Oryctolagus cuniculus: one gene and its partners. The protein of the gene in region 2 interacts with the protein of the main gene of each other region in a biochemical or structural test. Links are inferred from orthologs where the notes say so. Each region holds a gene or a part of one and is shown on either strand. Other genes may lie near its edges.

Evidence for each region.
Region 1: the proteins of HMGA1 (region 2) and NPM1 interact in far-western blotting, tested with the Homo sapiens proteins (2 studies listed by BioGRID). The link is inferred for Oryctolagus cuniculus from reciprocal best matches to the Homo sapiens genes HMGA1 and NPM1.
Region 3: of the proteins of HMGA1 (region 2) and PRMT6, one has a biochemical effect on the other in vitro, tested with the Homo sapiens proteins (2 studies listed by BioGRID, with this or other methods). The link is inferred for Oryctolagus cuniculus from reciprocal best matches to the Homo sapiens genes HMGA1 and PRMT6.
Region 4: of the proteins of HMGA1 (region 2) and PRKCA, one has a biochemical effect on the other in vitro, tested with the Homo sapiens proteins (2 studies listed by BioGRID). The link is inferred for Oryctolagus cuniculus from reciprocal best matches to the Homo sapiens genes HMGA1 and PRKCA.

What each region holds. Positions count from the first base shown.
Region 1 is NC_091437.1:58,113,561-58,117,797, reverse strand, and holds the start of NPM1 (nucleophosmin), read right to left. Parts: upstream 2,801-4,237; 5' UTR 2,468-2,800; coding exon 2,410-2,467; intron 585-2,409; coding exon 505-584; intron 36-504; coding exon 1-35. UniProt on the Homo sapiens protein: Involved in diverse cellular processes such as ribosome biogenesis, centrosome duplication, protein chaperoning, histone assembly, cell proliferation, and regulation of tumor suppressors p53/TP53 and ARF.
Region 2 is NC_091436.1:135,099,462-135,103,474, forward strand, and holds the start of HMGA1 (high mobility group protein HMG-I/HMG-Y), read right to left. Parts: upstream 2,803-4,013; 5' UTR 2,644-2,802; intron 2,381-2,643; 5' UTR 2,269-2,380; intron 1-2,268. UniProt on the Homo sapiens protein: HMG-I/Y bind preferentially to the minor groove of A+T rich regions in double-stranded DNA. It is suggested that these proteins could function in nucleosome phasing and in the 3'-end processing of mRNA transcripts.
Region 3 is NC_091438.1:63,347,831-63,351,880, reverse strand, and holds PRMT6 (protein arginine N-methyltransferase 6), read left to right. Parts: upstream 1-1,250; 5' UTR 1,251-1,338; coding exon 1,339-2,466; 3' UTR 2,467-3,895; downstream 3,896-4,050. UniProt on the Homo sapiens protein: Arginine methyltransferase that can catalyze the formation of both omega-N monomethylarginine (MMA) and asymmetrical dimethylarginine (aDMA), with a strong preference for the formation of aDMA.
Region 4 is NC_091448.1:12,520,971-12,525,051, reverse strand, and holds the start of PRKCA (protein kinase C alpha type), read right to left. Parts: upstream 2,801-4,081; 5' UTR 2,571-2,800; coding exon 2,398-2,570; intron 119-2,397; coding exon 87-118; intron 1-86. UniProt on the Homo sapiens protein: Calcium-activated, phospholipid- and diacylglycerol (DAG)-dependent serine/threonine-protein kinase that is involved in positive and negative regulation of cell proliferation, apoptosis, differentiation, migration and adhesion, tumorigenesis, cardiac hypertrophy, angiogenesis, platelet function and inflammation, by directly phosphorylating targets such as RAF1, BCL2, CSPG4, TNNT2/CTNT, or activating signaling cascade involving MAPK1/3 (ERK1/2) and RAP1GAP.

The DNA.
Region 1 (4,237 bases), on a different chromosome or scaffold from region 2:
TGCAGTTCATCCTTGGCACCAGCGCCTAAACTGACCTGTGAACAGTTTGTAAACTTTAATTTCCAACTGTTTTACAATCCTGCCTCGGAAATCTGTGTTTAAAAATACCAAATATGACTTTTATCATTATTTCCAACTTGTGCCAACACTACCTTCAAGTTTAGTAAGATTGGCAAACCAATTTCTCATGTTCAGTAAACTTGAAGAAATACTTAAAAATGCACACATATTATACAGAACACCTATTAAACACCCACTACAAAGCTGAGTAGGTTCGTCTGGCAGACACCCTAGAGATCTTTCATGATTCAAATGAAGCAAGATAATAAAACGGTGACTTGACTTTACCAGATTACCAGGTAGCAGTGAACATGCCCAGCTTTTTAATCAAGTTTATTGATGAGGTATATACAATATCCAATCATAAAAACTCTTATAAGCAGAGAAATAGGGGACAATTAAATTGCTGAAATCAAGAAATGTTTATTTTAAAAGCTTAAGTACCGTTCTTAAAGATAACTGGTGCTCATTTTCATCATTGTCCACTTTAAAGTGATAATCTTTGTCAGCCTTTAGTTCACAACCTGTAAAAGAAAAAAGCAATTCTAACAAGCAGAAAATTAACAAAGCTAACCTTTTAAGTAGTTTTCCTCTACTTTAGCTACCACAGAGTAGGAAGAATGGTCTCTTTCTGGTTTCCTCAACACTCATTTTTAAAAATCATTTAAGGTCCTTACAAGTCTGTATTAGTTGCATTTTCATTACAGTATTTTTCAATACACTGAGACAAGCACTACTACTTCTGCAGACATATCAATAATGAAGCCTAATATATAATAGTTAATTCCCAACCATTTAAAAAACTGGAATTATCTATCTAAACTCCCAATAGTGGAAAATTAGCAATGAGAATGGTTTCTCAGATGAACAGCTTTCATCTACAGAGAAAAGTACCAACATAAAAGAATCAACTTGTAAGGGTCAATATTCCAAAGTGATGCACATTAGAAATAGAGGCAACAGACACAATCAAGGACACTTCCAATATAAAGGGCCAAAAAAAAGAATTATTGTTTATAAAATCACCAGAAACCTCTAAAAATGGCTAAGAATTAAGTCCTAAAGTGCACTACCGTGCACATTATCTACTCCCACTCCATCGGGAAACTGTTTTAATTATTGCCAGAATAAAAATTTACGTGGTTACACTTCACTCCCATTCACAATAGATACTTAAGCATGCTAGTGCTAACAAACCTCAACATGGTTTGTAAACTAGGGGTAGGATTAGCATCTATTTCCATGTCTAACCAACAAAGGGTTCCCAGAATTAAGTTCTACTGTAATTCCTTAAAACTATGCATACATAGTAGTGTGAGTTCGCGGGGGACGGGGGCGCTGTGGTTCCCAATCTCTGGTTACAACCCGAGAACGTTGGTGAACATAACAAAATCCATGCTGGACTACCTCCGCTACACCCTTCCTGGAAAAAAAATAAGCCTCACTTATGAAGCGCTGGCTCTGCAATCAAGGATTTTGTTTAAATCTGGTTTTTAAGCGCAACCTTAACCTAATTACTTCTCTGAGCATCAGACCTGTATTGTGGTTTAGGTCCGTCTACCAGCTGAGGCAGAAAGAGGACTCTAAAAAGGCCAGTTACGGTACAGTTGATGCTGCAGACGCTGGACAAAGACTTCCAGAATCCTAGTTCAATCCGCCACTACACCTATCACTTCCCGCCCAACAGTCTCAAAGCAGCCACAGGACCCCTGGCTGGGGCGGGGGGTGGGTGGGTGACAAGATGCCAGAGCCCCGGATGTACAGCCCACACCCCCTCCCTTCCCCCAACCACGTGGCAACCACGTGCTTCGGGCGGTCGCGGCCTCCTCAAGCCCCGCCGCACATCCCCTCCCCGGTTCACTGGCTGAGGCACCCGAGCTGTCTCCGGGCCCGGAACTCTGGATGAGGACGCCAGGCTGCACCCACCTCCTCCTCCAGCAGGGACTTCCACGCCCCTCCATGCACCCCCCCCAACCTCCTGTAACACGGCCTAGCAACAAGCCAGCCGACTTACACACTACGGGACAAAAAATCACGCCTGGAATCCTACTTCGCAGCCCAGGCAACGCCGAACCTTCAGACGGCCTTGGGCCATGGCCCGCTCACGCCCCAGGCCGGGGGCCGCCGCTCCTCCCCACCCCTTTCACACGGCTCACTCTCTGCTCCCAGCTCCCACCCCGCTCAGCACCAGGACGCCTGCGGTCTGCTCCCTATTCTCTCCGGCCTCCAGTCTGCCGGCCTTTTTCCAACAGCCCGGGCCTCAGTCAGACTCCCGCCGCCCCCTCCCCCCAACCCTTAAAGCCACCACCAGGCCCTGCTCGGCCTCGCTTCAACCCCCACAATAGTTACCGAAAAGATAGTTCTGGGGCCTCAGGGGGCTCATGTCCATGTCCATCGAATCTTCCATGAGGCGGAGGGACGAACTTGGGTAGGAGAGAAAGCGGACGGAGATTAGACGCCCACTGCTGCAAAGAACAGCCGCGCAGGACGGAATCACGCCAGGGAAAGGACGCGGGCTCCCCGCTAGTATATATAGCCACCAGAAATCTCGCGATAGCTTTCCAAGTCCCGCCTCCGCGCGCGTGCTCTTCAGCCCCTTCTCGCAGTACGGTCGCGCTGCTGCGCAAGCGCTCTTCAACACACTCCTCTCTACCTCTCCCCCCACCTCTTCCAGGTACTTCGCGGGCTCACACCGGGCACGCGCACTCGAAACCCTGCCCCACCCCTCTGCCGCCGTCGCCGATGCGCAGGCGCGCTTTCCCCTTGCGGCGCGCGCTCCCCACCTCCGGCGGTTCCACGTCCTCTCCGGTTCCAGCGCGTCGGCTTCGCGCCAAGAGCCTGCGCAGCCCACCCTGCAAGATGGCGACAGCAGGCCTTCGCTGTGCTGGATGCGGAGGCTCAGGCAGTCGGGAATAAGCCAGAAAGCAGCTCCATTCTCCTTCCTCCATCCCCTCGTCTCCCGCAAGCCTCCAAGATGGCATAATCAGCGCGGGATTTTGACCTGCCCGAAAGCCTGGGCTCGGAGCTAATGGCTTCCCCACAGCTAGTCTCAGGTGCCAGAGCGGGAGAACGAGTGGACGACGGTTTTTATTCTTTATTGGCCAGACTTACAGGACTCTGTGTTCTTATAAATCCGCCCTTTCTGAGGAAAAATCAACAAAGTCCTCATTTTTATGGCAACTTGGGGCCACACGGGGACCGAGTCAGCCGCCTCCGCCGGTGCAGCCTCTGGGGATGTGCACTTCCTAACCTTTAACATTCCCGGCGAAAGGAAACGTTTGACTCGATTTAAATGCAGGAACCTTAATTCGAATCTTTGGAAGGCAGCCTGGGAATTAGCATTTTAAACTACTTGACAAACACGTAAGACCTCACAGACCCTGAGCGCTGGGCTTCTTAAGGAATTTTTTTTTTTTTTTTTTTTTTTTTTTTTTTTTTTACCTCAATACATCGAATTAGGAAGTACTGTGATGGTGGCGCCGGTTTGAGGTTTGAGTCCCGGCTGCTCCACTTCATCCAGCTCCCTGGTAATGGCCTAATGTCCCAAGTCCTTGGGCCCCCGCACCCACGTGGGAGACGGGGAAGAAGCTCCTGGCTCCTGGCTTTGCCTGGTCCACACCGACCATTGCAGCCATTTGGGGAGTGAACCAGCGGATGGACGACCTCTCTCTCTCTCTCTCTCTCTCTCTCTCTCTGCCTCTCCCTCTCTGTAATTCTGACTTTCAAGTAAATAAGTAAACTTTTAAAAAAATGTTTTGGATAGATGTTTGTCTATGGTAGTATAATGTAGGTATGTTATAATTTATTTGTTCCTCCATTGATAGGCATATTTTCTACCTAATTTTACTAAAAATATTATTTAGGTAAACATCTTTGTACCTATATTTTTATGGATATCTGAAAGTAGTTTAATAGAATATAGCCTAAGAAATGGACTTCCACAGTAAAAGGATGGGTACTTAGGAATATATGTACATACACTCAGAAATACTTCTTTTATTGTTTAAGTAAGATCACATTTTATCCAGTGTCCTCCAACTTTATTAACGTAGCTTGGTAGACATTAGCCTATCTGTGTGCCAGTGGTCAAAGAAAATGGGAATTTTTTGAAAGTGGGAATATTTGTGTGATGGCACAAGGATACAGGCCTTGGAAACAAACCAACATTTACATTTCA
Region 2 (4,013 bases):
CAGTTCGGAAGGGACCAGGGAAGATGAGACGGTGGCAGCTGCAGCAGCCACACACAGCGACTCTGTGTGCATCTGGCGGGGCTCAAGCCTCAAGGACCACCACTCACACAGCCAGGGCTGGTGCCCACCCACCAGGTCTCTGCCCTGTCCCAGGGGAAATCCTTGAGGACTCCAAAGATGGGGACAACTGAGGGAGGAAGATGGTGGAGCCTGCAGCGGGCGGGGTGCGAGGAAAGCCTGCTGGGGGTCTGATTAGCACCCCCCTCCCCCCGCACACACCACGATGAGTTCACCTATCCCTCCTGGAGCAGGCAGCATGGGCCAGCCCGGTCAGCAGCCCCAAGTGGACCTGGAAGCCTGCAGCCACCACCCCCTGCCTGCCCCGCCCCTCCGTCTGTGAAATGCAGGCAATGCTAAGACACCTGTCTCCACTGCCTCCCCACACGGCTTTGGGGCTCCAACTCAGAACAGTTTATAAAAAAACTGAAGCCTCAGAAACCTTCTATCGGTAAATGACTTCTCTTCCTCCTTTGAGAGATTCTGAGGCAATTTCCAATTTTAACCCAGGAAAGAAAAAACATTTTTGCAAACTTGCGATTTTTTTTGAGGACCCAAGGCCCCCACCCCTCAAGCACAGAGCCCCTCCAGACGGCGGGACTTTGTCTGGTAATTACCCTATTTTATATCTCAGACTGGGAGACCCTTGCAAACAAGGTGGTTGATTTAGCCTGCTCCGTCATTAGTGGCTTGGCCTGCTCTGTAATTACAGCCAGTGATTAGAATCTTATATTACACCACAGGCCCCCTTCAAACTAAACATCAAAATTAATCAGCTAAATGAGTGCTGACCTCACATAAGGTCTGCCCAGGGCCCCCTCGCAGGGGGGGTTCCAGTTGGGCGAAGCTGGCCCGGAGTCCCCCGAACCTCTGATGGCATGGGGTGGGTGCCTGCCTCCCCCCTACCCCACCCGGCCAGGCCCCCACGAAGTCCTGAGGCTCTCTCTAGGGAGGCCAAGAAACGTTGGTCTCTATGCCACCTGTTCGCGAACATCAACGAGGCCTGGCCTGGAGCAGCCACGTTTCGGGGCCAACCCCAATCCCTCAGCTTGTAGGAAGCCCACTCGGGTCCCAGGCTCCTCCAGCGCTTAAAGGCCCTGCAGGAATGACCCCAGTACCTCATCTTAGCAGTCCCTTTTATTCTGCATAAAGGAAAAAATAAAAAAGTAGCCCAGAGAAGCCTGATGAGTTTTCCAAGGTCACACAGCAAACTGGCGACCCTCCCAGCCCACCGGTGTGCTCTCCCAGCTAGCGGCTGGTGAAGACCCTGTCGGCCCTTGCTCCAGACCCAGGCGGCGTCTGCAAGTGCCTGCGCCGGGCCGTTGTGGGCAGACCGGCGGGAGTCGGGGCCAGAGCGCGAGGGGGAGGGGCGCAGGCCGTCCCTGCAGGCGCGGGAAACGAGCGCACCCCGGCCGCATGCACCGCCACGCGGGTGCACCCGGCCCCACTTCCTGCCAGAGGGGGCACCCAAGCCCGCCCCGGGGCAGGAGACCTGGCGCGCGCTGGCGGGGGACAGGAAGAAAGCCCCCTCTCTGCGCCCGCCCCGCCAAATAAAACCCCAGGAAAACAGAAACGGGGAGTCCAGGGGACTAGTTCCAACAGAGCCCAGCAAAGCAGAGAAACCAGTTTGTGGGGGCGGAGGGCAGGCCCGGCCCTGGGGGCTGAGGAGGCGCAGCTCGGGCCAGAGGTGGGGTCGGGGTGAAGCCCCAAATCCAGGCCGGGCAGCCGGCTCGTCCCGCGCAGGGGGCGAGAGCCCAATCTCGGGGTTCCCGCCCATCCCCCTCACTTCCAGAACTTCGTGCGGCTGCGGGGGGCGTCCGAGCCCCCGCACGCCCGCCGCAGCCCGGCCTCCTCCCCGCCCCCCACCCCCGGCCCCGGCGGGAGCGGCCGCCGCGCGAGGTGCACCGGGCTCCGCCGGGTGCACAACTCGCGCTCGCCGCAGCCGCGCGCCCCCTCCCCCACCGCGCGCTTGCCTTCCCAGGGTCCCCGCCCCCCCCCCGCAGGGCGCCCGCGGCGCGGGGGAAGGGGTGCGGGCGTCCTCCCCGCGCCGCCGGGCCCCGCCGCCCGCCCCCGCGCCGCGCGGCCCTCCCCCGCCGCCGGCTCGCGCCGCCCCGGCCTGGGAATAAAGCCGGCGGCGCGCGCTGCAGCCCCGGGCGGGGGCGCGGGCGCCCCCCTCGGCCGCCGCCGCCGCGGGCCGCGGGGACGACTCACCGCGAGCTCGGCCGCCGGCCTGCGGTGCGCGCTCCGGGGCTGCCGGGAGCGACGGTGCTGGGCGCTGAGGACCGGCCTGGCTCCGCCGCCGCCGCTGGTAGCAAATGCGGATCTGAAACCGGGAGAGAGGGCAGAGGCGCTCAGAGCCCGCCGCCGCCGCGTGCTCGCCGCCCAGGCCCCCGCGGGGTATTTATATGTCACATCCAGCCGGGGGTGGGGGGGTGGGCAGGAGTCTCCCCCCTCCCCCGAAGGATGGCGAGGGGCAGGAAGCCGGGCACGGCCCGTGCGCGGCCTCAATAAATAAATAATTTAATTAAATTATAGATATATTTAAAAAAAAAAAAAAAGCAGCCACCGGAGCGGCCGCGAACTCACGCCTTCTTGGAGCCGCGCCAGCGCCAGAAATAGCCCCGGCTCGGAGTCCCAATTAGAGGAGCGCAGCCCCGGCTCAGGGGAGCTTAAAAAGAGCGACCCAGGGGCAGGGGGGACGGGCCCGCCCGCGCCAGCCGTGTCACCGGGGGGCGGGGCCATGCAAATGAGCCCGGGGATTTAAAAGGGCGGCCGCCCGCCAGCCGCCGCCGCCGCCGCCGCGCGGGTGGGTGCTAGGCTGCTGTGGGGGTGCGCCCAGTCACGATCCACTCCCCACAGTCCTAGGGGGAGCAGGGCGCCGAGCAATCTCGAAGGGGCTTCTGGCGTCGGGGCGGGGGGCGGGGGCGTCCTCACCGTCTGGAACCGGAGTCCCGGGACAGTCACCTCTAGGGGCGCTCCGGGCGTGTGCGCCCCGCCGTGGGGGGTGTGGGTGGGCCTTCGTGCCCGCGGGGGTCCACGCGGCCGGAGTGGGGCAGAGAAACGCGGGTGTGGGAGACTTCCGCGGCCTACGCGCCGCCCCTTTCCCTTACACCGACGGCCTGCGGATTTCTCCAGGCCGACAGGTGTGTCAGCATGTGCGTTTCAGTGACATCCCGCGCGTGACTGGCGGGTGGGGTACCGTCTTGTGAAATGCAAGGTGTTTAGATTTTGTTAACGGCCACACGCGAAGCATGACCAAGGTCCAGCCTTCGAGCGAGACACAACTGGCTCGCTCGCGGGCTGGACCCGAGCGGGGCGTCACTCCCTTTGGCGCCCTCCGGCCGTTTTGGAAGCACGCGGTCCCGCAGTGGCCCCCAGATTTCTCATCTGCCGTGGTTTAAAAAAAAAAAAAACAACAACAACAAAGGGTTGGGCCGGCGACGCCTGGAAGCGCTTTGCGGGCAGGGTCTGAGCTGACGCGCGCCGTCCGGGCCCGCCGCGCCGGGCTCCACCGGGACTTGTTGCGCTGAACGAGGAGGAAGCCAGAGCGGGAAGATGGCGGTGGGGGAAGAGAGGGCAGGGTCGGAGAGGGGAGGCGCGCCCTGCAGGCCGGGCCGCGGCCCTGTCGGGCGCACCTCCCGCGCCCGGTCCCCGAGGCGGCCTTCCACACCTCCTGTGAGGCAGGGAATTGTAATGCGGCCCAGTGACACACGGCAGTGACTCATGTTTTTCTTTGCTCCCCTTCTTCCTCCCTGGTCAGCGAGGCCCAGGCCCAGCCCCCTCCTCAGGGGGCGCGCGGAGGGGCGGGGGCGGGGGTGGGGGGGCGCGAGGAAAACCCGGAGCCCGCAGTGGGGGCGGGGTGGGGAGCCCGAGGGGCCGGGCCTCCAAGTTTCAGGAATGTTTCAGGAATGTTTCCGGTGGGGGAGGGGGCCGGCCCCCACCCCGGGGCCGCGGGG
Region 3 (4,050 bases), on a different chromosome or scaffold from region 2:
GGACATGTTTTGAGACCATAAGGAAATAGAAGTTTCTTCTGTGTGATTTTAAGCTGGGGCCAAATGTAATTCTCATTGTTAAGAACGTAGGCATCACACACTAAAAAAACATTATGGACATTATGAACAACCTAAAGGGAACAGATTCACAGGTGAGAGTTGAACAAAAGAAAAATAAAAGAGGTGAACACCAGCCTTGCCCAGACAGGGAGACAAAAAAATCAAAAAATGAGTCACAGTGGAAAAGCCATCAAGAAGAATAGAGGATCCCAGTATTTCTGGGACAAAAGAATTATGATTGTTTACCAGAATACATCTAGCAGCTGGTTTGACTGTATCATGCCACTGTTGCTCTTAAAACATTCTTTAATCTACATCCTCAAAGGATTTTCTGAGAGCCACAGAACCAACAAGAGCAGGACAACAGAGCAAAAGTATTTTTCACTTTATGTTTCTGTGTGGGAGCAAACTGTTGAAATCTTTACTTAATGTATGCTAAACTGATCTTCTGTATATAAAGAGAATCGAAAATGAATCTTGATGTGAATGGAAGGGGAGACGGAGTGGGAAAGGGGAGGGTTGCGGGTGGGAGGGACGTTATGGGGGGGAAGCCATTGTAATCCATAAGCTGTACTTTGGAAATTTATATTCATTAAATAAAAGTTTAAGAAAAAAAAAAAGGAACTATTCCTCTGAAATAGACACCAGAAACTTAATTTCTCCAACTGCAATGAAGACTCCTTTTTGCTGATGGAGTGAATGGTAACTGAAGGCCAGAAAAGTTATGCTACTTACCTCAAATCACTCAATTATAGTGGTCACACTAGGACCAGAACTAAGGTTTTATCCTGTTAGGTTTTATTTTGCCCTGTTCCACCTTCTTTGTACCCTAACTACACTGCAAACCCAGCAATGTGTAGCGTTGATTCCTAAACCTCACGGCCTGTTGGGCTTTTAGATTACCCCCGTCTAGGTAAGGCAGTGTGAGTCCCGCGCTGCCCTGATAACTGGGTGGAACAAAAAGTTGAGCAAAGTGGAGCTGTCGTCTTATTTGGGCGTGTCTACCTCAGGAAGGGAGGGAAAACCAGAGCACGGCGAGCGGAGACGCAGCCGTGGAGGAAACACAGAACGTGGGTGTGGTGAGCCGGCAAGGGTTGCCGGGACACCAAGGGAGCCGGGCCAGAGAGGTGAGGCCAGGAGTCTTCCGTAGGCGCGCGCCTGGCGACCCCGCAGGAAGTAGGAAGCGCGAGCGCACACTACAAGTCCCAGAAGCCCCAGTTTCCTGGAGCCCGCGTCCGACCGCGCAACGCCCGCCGGGAGCCGGCCGGAGCGGCCAAGATGTCGCAACCTAAGAAGAGAAAGCATGAGTCGGGGGGCGGCGGGGAAGGAGGGGAGGGAGCCGAGGAGGAAGATGGTGGAGCGCTGGAGGCTGGCGTGCCGCGACCCCGGAGGACTAAGCGGGAGCGGGACCAGCTGTACTACGAGTGCTACTCGGATGTGTCGGTCCACGAGGAGATGATCGCCGATCGCGTCCGCACGGACGCCTACCGCCTGGGGATCCTGCGGAACTGGGCAGCGCTGCGAGGCAAGACGGTGCTGGATGTGGGCGCGGGCACCGGCATTCTCAGCGTCTTCTGTGCCCAGGCCGGGGCTCGGCGCGTGTACGCGGTGGAGGCCAGCGCCATCTGGCAACAGGCCCGCGAGGTGGTGCGGCTCAACGGGCTGGAGGACCGGGTGCTCGTCCTGCCGGGGCCCGTGGAGACGGTGGAGCTGCCAGAGCAAGTGGATGCCATCGTAAGCGAATGGATGGGCTACGGACTCCTGCACGAGTCCATGCTGAGCTCCGTGCTGCACGCGCGGACCAAGTGGCTGAAGGAGGGCGGGCTTCTCCTGCCGGCCTCCGCCGAGCTCTTCGTAGCCCCCATCAGCGACCAGATGCTGGAATGGCGCCTGGGCTTCTGGAGCCAGGTGAAGCAGCACTATGGCGTGGACATGAGCTGCCTGGAGAGCTTCGCCACGCGCTGCCTCATGGGCCACTCGGAGATCGTGGTGCAGGGCCTGTCCGGCGAGGATGTGCTGGCCCGGCCGCAGCGCTTTGCTCAGCTTGAGCTGGCCCGCGCCGGCCTGGAGCAGGAGCTGGAGGCTGGCGTGGGCGGGCGCTTCCGCTGCAGCAGCTACGGTTCGGCGCCCCTGCACGGCTTTGCCATCTGGTTCCAGGTGACCTTTCCTGGAGGGGACTCGGAGAAACCCCTGGTGCTGTCCACCTCGCCTTTTCACCCGGCCACACACTGGAAGCAGGCGCTCCTCTACTTGAACGAGCCGGTGCCAGTGGAGCAAGACACGGACATTTCTGGAGAGATCACTCTGCTGCCCTCCCGGGACAACCCCCGCCGCCTGCGCGTGCTGCTGCGCTACAAAGTGGGGGACCAGGAGGAAAAGACCAAAGACTTTGCCATGGAGGACTGAGCGCCGCGTTTTCTCCCAGCGACCTCCCAAGGCGGCCTGACCTGAGTGGGAGAGGTGTAGGGAGGTTGGAGGAGAAAGGGCGATCCCACGTGCAAGTAGGGGGCAAAGTCTGCTCCCTTTTCCCTCAGGGCTGCTGGGGCAGGAACCTGACTTCAGTCTCCGTTTGAGGAGATTTCTTCTAACTGTGTTCCTTTTTTTTTTTTCTACAAAGTGGTCCCCTCCCCACCCTTCAACCAAGAGATACACCATGCTTGTTAATGGGCGTTTAAGCCTCAAAAGCATGTGGTACCGAGCATTTGGGTTTCCATTTCTTTTGTTTCACAGGAAAAGCAAATACACGAATGAAACGGCAGTTTATGAAGGGTCCATGCACACGCCTGACACCTCACAGAAAGGTGAAAAAGTTTAGTGAAACTTTCATTGTCACTTTAATATCTCTAGAGCCATATTTCTGTCTCTGAATTCCCCCTTTTCCTGGGTGCCTCTAGGCTATGATCCTTGTTCCTCATTATTTTTTTAAATAAACGACTACTGGTAATGAAGAAAAGATGAGGAAGCTGTTTAAATGGCCCTCTTCTCATTATTCTTATTACTTCCATGGGGTGCTGAAGTTGATGAACACATTAGTCCATTAAATAAAATGGACTTTATGTAATTTTATAGCAGGTATAAGACATTGAGAAGGTCTATTTAGTTTAAAAGGATCTGAAACCAGCCAAATAGTATTGATTTTTAAAGTTTTTGTCTTCACTGTTAAGACAACCAAAACTGTTTCATGTATGTTCCAAAATATTTGTGTAATTCCTGTGAAACCTGCTGACAGAGGAGCTTTCTGAATCTAACCCAGTACTTATTACCATAGTAAATGATTTAGTTCACTAAATCAAGGAAAATATTTTTCCTGCTAGAAAAGTGCACTCATTCTCATTGAAACTTTCTCATGTAGAAGGAGCATGTGATTTGGCCTACTTTCATCTAGTGAAATTGACTTCTTTAGTTTTTGTTCTTCTTTTTAGCTCAGCCAAATGTGAAAGTTGTGAATTTGGGAAAATCACTTGTAATGAAGTGTGAGTCATGTTATCAGATTTACTTCACTGATGTTTCCCTCCTTATCCTTGTGGCAAATAAAACAACATTCGCACTATTTTTATAGATGAAGTAAGTGTTCTGTACTGAGTTATAATGCTTTCGCCTTATTGATGCTGTCAGTTCTTAAGAAATGTGTTACAACCCCTGCAGCATACAGCTTCAGGGCAGTTGACTACGCTTAATATTTGGGTTTTGCCATACTAACAGCTTTTATATGCTAATAGAAAACAAGTGTGAAAAATTGGTGATCTTAAGTTCTACAACATTTTCTTTATTGTAATTTTGCTCTTTTGTTCATTGCATATTAAAATACTTAAATAATATAACTAATTTGCTAAAATTTTGTTGTGTTGAATGAGACTTTCTTTGACAAAATTTTCAATTTTATAATAGCAAGCAGTGCAGTTATAATTGTCATCATTTTGATGATTGGATAGTTACCATCATGTATAAATGCTGGTCTTAGGAAGACTTGTTTTAACCTGGAGGTAAAAG
Region 4 (4,081 bases), on a different chromosome or scaffold from region 2:
CACAAAGGATGGCCGGGAACACATTTCGTGTCTGCAGTGCTTACTTCATGTTGTACTTGAAAATAAAATCCAGTGAGACAGCTTACCTTGGCACTGGAAGCCTTGCTTCCCAAACCCCCTGAAAAACAGAAACAAGAATAAAACAGCTTAACAGAGTCTGTGTGGCATAGCACATTTTAAACAAGCTATAGGACAAAATGTTCTACAGAGTTAAAGGTTTGGACCTCCTATCTGGGGAGCTGCTAGGAATGACATGTCCAAGTACCTGGCGAGATCACGGTACAAATTCAACTTGGAAAAAAGTCTCTCTCACCTAGAAGGGATCCAAGAAACATCTCATCACATCAAGCCTCTTTCCAGTTCTTTTCACTCTGTTACTGACACTTAAATTTCAAGACAAGAACATGACAGGGATAATCAAGTAACCAAGAGGAGGTTATAGACAGAGCGGAAAAGGAAGTGGCTGAATTTTGTTCCTAGGGACCAACAGAGAATTGTTTTTCTCCCTATAGAGAGTTAAAGAGTGGCTTATGGGAGTTTGGCTAGCGCTAGACACATGATATTTTAACCAACAGCACCACTTTTAACATTTAATTTTGGCTGGTGGAACCAGATTTTATGAAATATTATCCCTACTGTTTGCATCTCAGATTATCATGATCTAATTTTTAACAATTTACCCTGCAAGGACAAACTCCTCAGTTGCAAACATTGTTCCCCTAGGAACGAACTGCACTGAAATTCTCAGGAGGTCCTCGGTTGTAATCTCTTGCTTTACATAACATTTGAAATGTATACAACACTTCACATACCTTCATACTTAACTTAGGAGTTCTTCCCCCCCCCCCAAAAAAAAAAAGAAAACTGCACATAAATCCAAATATCTAGCCTTAAAATATCAGTGCTGTAATACTGAAGTAAAATCAAGGACCCACCGAAGCAATACTGGAAGAAAACTGAAAATCAAGAACCAACCTTTCCCTGGTATTCCCCGGGGCTGCCTGTTAGGTGTGGACGCTGCCAGGTGCACCCAGGGCGGGCAGAGAGGAGCCCTTTCCTGTCCAGGGCACACTACACCCGGAGACCTCGGTGCCGCATCCGCTCCAGCCTTCGGGGCAGCACAGCGCAAAGACTAGTCAGCCTGCCAGCCCCACCGTCCCTCTTCCAAGTTACCCACTTCGGGCAAAAGGAATCGCCGGCAGTCCCTTCTCTTTTACGCAACCTCACAGCTGACCCTGCAGGCAGCAGCCCTCCGCCTGGGCAGACGCGCCCGGGCGCTCCAGAAACTTATTTTAAGCAGCCTTATCTAGGATTCCCTACTCCTGTGAGCTCAACTCCTCCATATGCGGACTACTCGGTGGAAACCATTCATAGAGGTGCTGTACTTTTCCAAAAAGCCTGTATTTTTAAGCGGATTTCTGAAAAGGCAAAGGTCAAGCCTAAACACCCCATTAGCAGCACTTTCAGAGAGCTCGCCTGTTAGCACCTTTTCCCCCAGGTGTGATGGGGTCAGACGCAGCCAACCAGGCAACGCCCACCCCGGAGCCCCCAGGACACGCGTGCCTGGGAGGGGAGCTGGCTGGTGCCAGGGCACGCCCTGGGCACCTGGGGGCGGGGGGACTAGGGAACCCCAGCCGCAGCCCTGGAACTGCCCACCGGTGTCCTGAGGCAGAACCAACCACTGCGACCCCGAGGGTAGGACCCGGGGAAGACGGGCCCTTCACCTCGCGCTCCCTGAACTTCCCGGGGGTGGGGAGGCCGAGGACCTGAGACCAATGGTGCCCTTTCCAGCTATGGATCCCGCAGGTGCCCCAAACGAGCAGCGGCTGCGTTTCTTGGAAGTCACCTCACTCCGGCACCTTTAGCCATCGGGGTATTTTTCTTAAACAAGGCCTCTGTCCTCCTCCGCCGGGCTACAGGTCTAATCTCGTGTTGACAGGGTCTATTTAAAAAAAAAAAAAAAAAAAGACTCCCTCTGCCCTCCTGCCACTCGCCTGCTCCGCTTCGACCCCCTCCCCCCACCGCGAGCTTCCAACAGTTTGCTCGCTCTCCTGTTTCTCCCCCACCCCGGGCTCACCCAAGGGAGAGAAAGTCTCCGCGCGCCCAGCAGAGCCCGGCTCCGGGAGCCAGGCAGCCGAGGGCAGCACAAACACACGCCCCCGAGCGCGCCCGGGAACTCCGCGCCGCCGCCGGCTCCCTGGTCCTCTGCCTCCCGCCAGCCCGCGGCCGGCTCGGCCGGGCCGGGTGCGCCCCGGCGAGGGGAGAGGCCCCGGCCCGGGCCCCCTCCCGCGGCAGAGCGGCGCGCGCGAGCCGAGCCGGCCCGGGCGAGAGTTGGGACTCCCGCCGGCTCTGCAAGTTGCCCGAGGGCGGCCGCCCGTGCGCCCGGCGCGCACCTACCAGATGAAGTCGGTGCAGTGGCTGCAGAAGGTGGGCTGCTTGAAGAAGCGCGCGATGAATTTGTGGTCTTTCACCTCGTGCACGTTCTTCTGCCTCAGCGCCCCTTTGCGGGCGAAGCGGTTGGCCACGTCCTGAGACGCCGTGGAGTCGTTGGCCGGGAAAACGTCAGCCATGGTCCCCCCCAACCACCTCTTGCCTCCGCCGGGGAGCGGCAGCCGGCGAGGGCCGGGGTGGGCGGGGGCGGGCGGGGGAGGGGCGGCGGGGCGAGGGGCGACCCCGGGCGCGGGGCGCGGGCTGGAGGCGGCGGCGGCCGGGGAGAGGCGAGCGGGCGCGGCGCGGAGCCGGAGCCGCTCGCTGGCTCTCTCTCGCTCGCTCGCTCGCTTGCTCGCTGGCCCCACGCTCACTGACAGCCCGGCGCCCGGCGCTCGCGCTTCCTACTCGCGGCGGCGAGGCGGCCCGGAGCGGCACCGCCCACTGCGCATGCTCCCCGGGCTGGAGCGGCGGCGCGGGCGCGCGCGGGCTGGAGCGGGGGCGCGCGCGCGCGGGGGCTGCGCTGCTCGGCGCGGGCGGGACAGGGGCGCTGGAGCCCAGGCGAGACGGCGGCGGCCGCCGGCGGAGGACTGCCCCGCGCGAGGGAGCCGGGAGGGCCCGGCCGGCCCTTCGCTGCCCTCTCTCTTCCTCCTCCCGGCGCTCCTTCCTCCTCGTTCTCCTCCTCTTCTTCCGCTCCGCTCGCCCGGCCTCCTCCTCCTCTCTCCGCTTCTCCTTTTCGGGATCGGGGTTCTGAGCCTCCCGGAGCCCCCTTCCCCGTCTAACCGCGCCGGTTCGCAGTTGCACCTGGCTGCAGCGCCAGCCCCCGCCCCCGGGCACAGCCCCCAGAGCTTCAAGCTGCCCACAGGTGGCCGGAGAGAGAGGAGCAGCCTGAACCTCGGGGCCCTGACCCTCTCCCCCTCCCTCGGCCGTTGACGGACTTGTGGCCCACGGGTTGTGGAGGCGTCTGCTCCAGACCTCAGGCGTGCCCGCCACCTGGGATCGCTGGAGATTTGTCCTGCGAGTTCACCGGCTCCCAGGCTTTCTTGATTTTACAAGTCCAGAGCCTTAATTTAGAAACCATTTTGTATCCTAAGCTAATTACTGCAATAGTGGCAGGTGCAGAGTGCAGCCCGAACATTTGTAAATTACCGAGTGAGAGTGCTTGTGGAAGAGTGGCTGGCATGGGTATGCGAAGGACACACGTGGCAATGTACCAACTAATCACTCGCTGAATATTCAGTAGGTCTGCCTGGAAGACACTAAAACAGAAAGCAAACAACCATCTCGCAGCATTTCATTATTGTTTTTATTTGCCAGATTCACTAAGTTCACAAAACAACTTCACAAGGTGAAGACACCAGGAAAGAGAGCTCATTGCCGAATCCTGCAAGAAACTTTTAAAAAGACAACTTTTCGAAGCTATAAACCACCTTGGAGAGAGTGTATCATCCAGACCACCACTTTGATTTTTTGCAAATACCTTTTAATTGTGATGCTGGATAATAGGGATTGTATTTACATTTTAACGAGTGGAGGCTGTGGGCCGGCCATTAGTGGAGCCTGCATTTGGCTGACCCATTTATGATCCCGTGCACCAATGCTGATGCTTCGACACTGCACCTGCTTAGCATCCTCTCTGGTCAGAAATTCCACC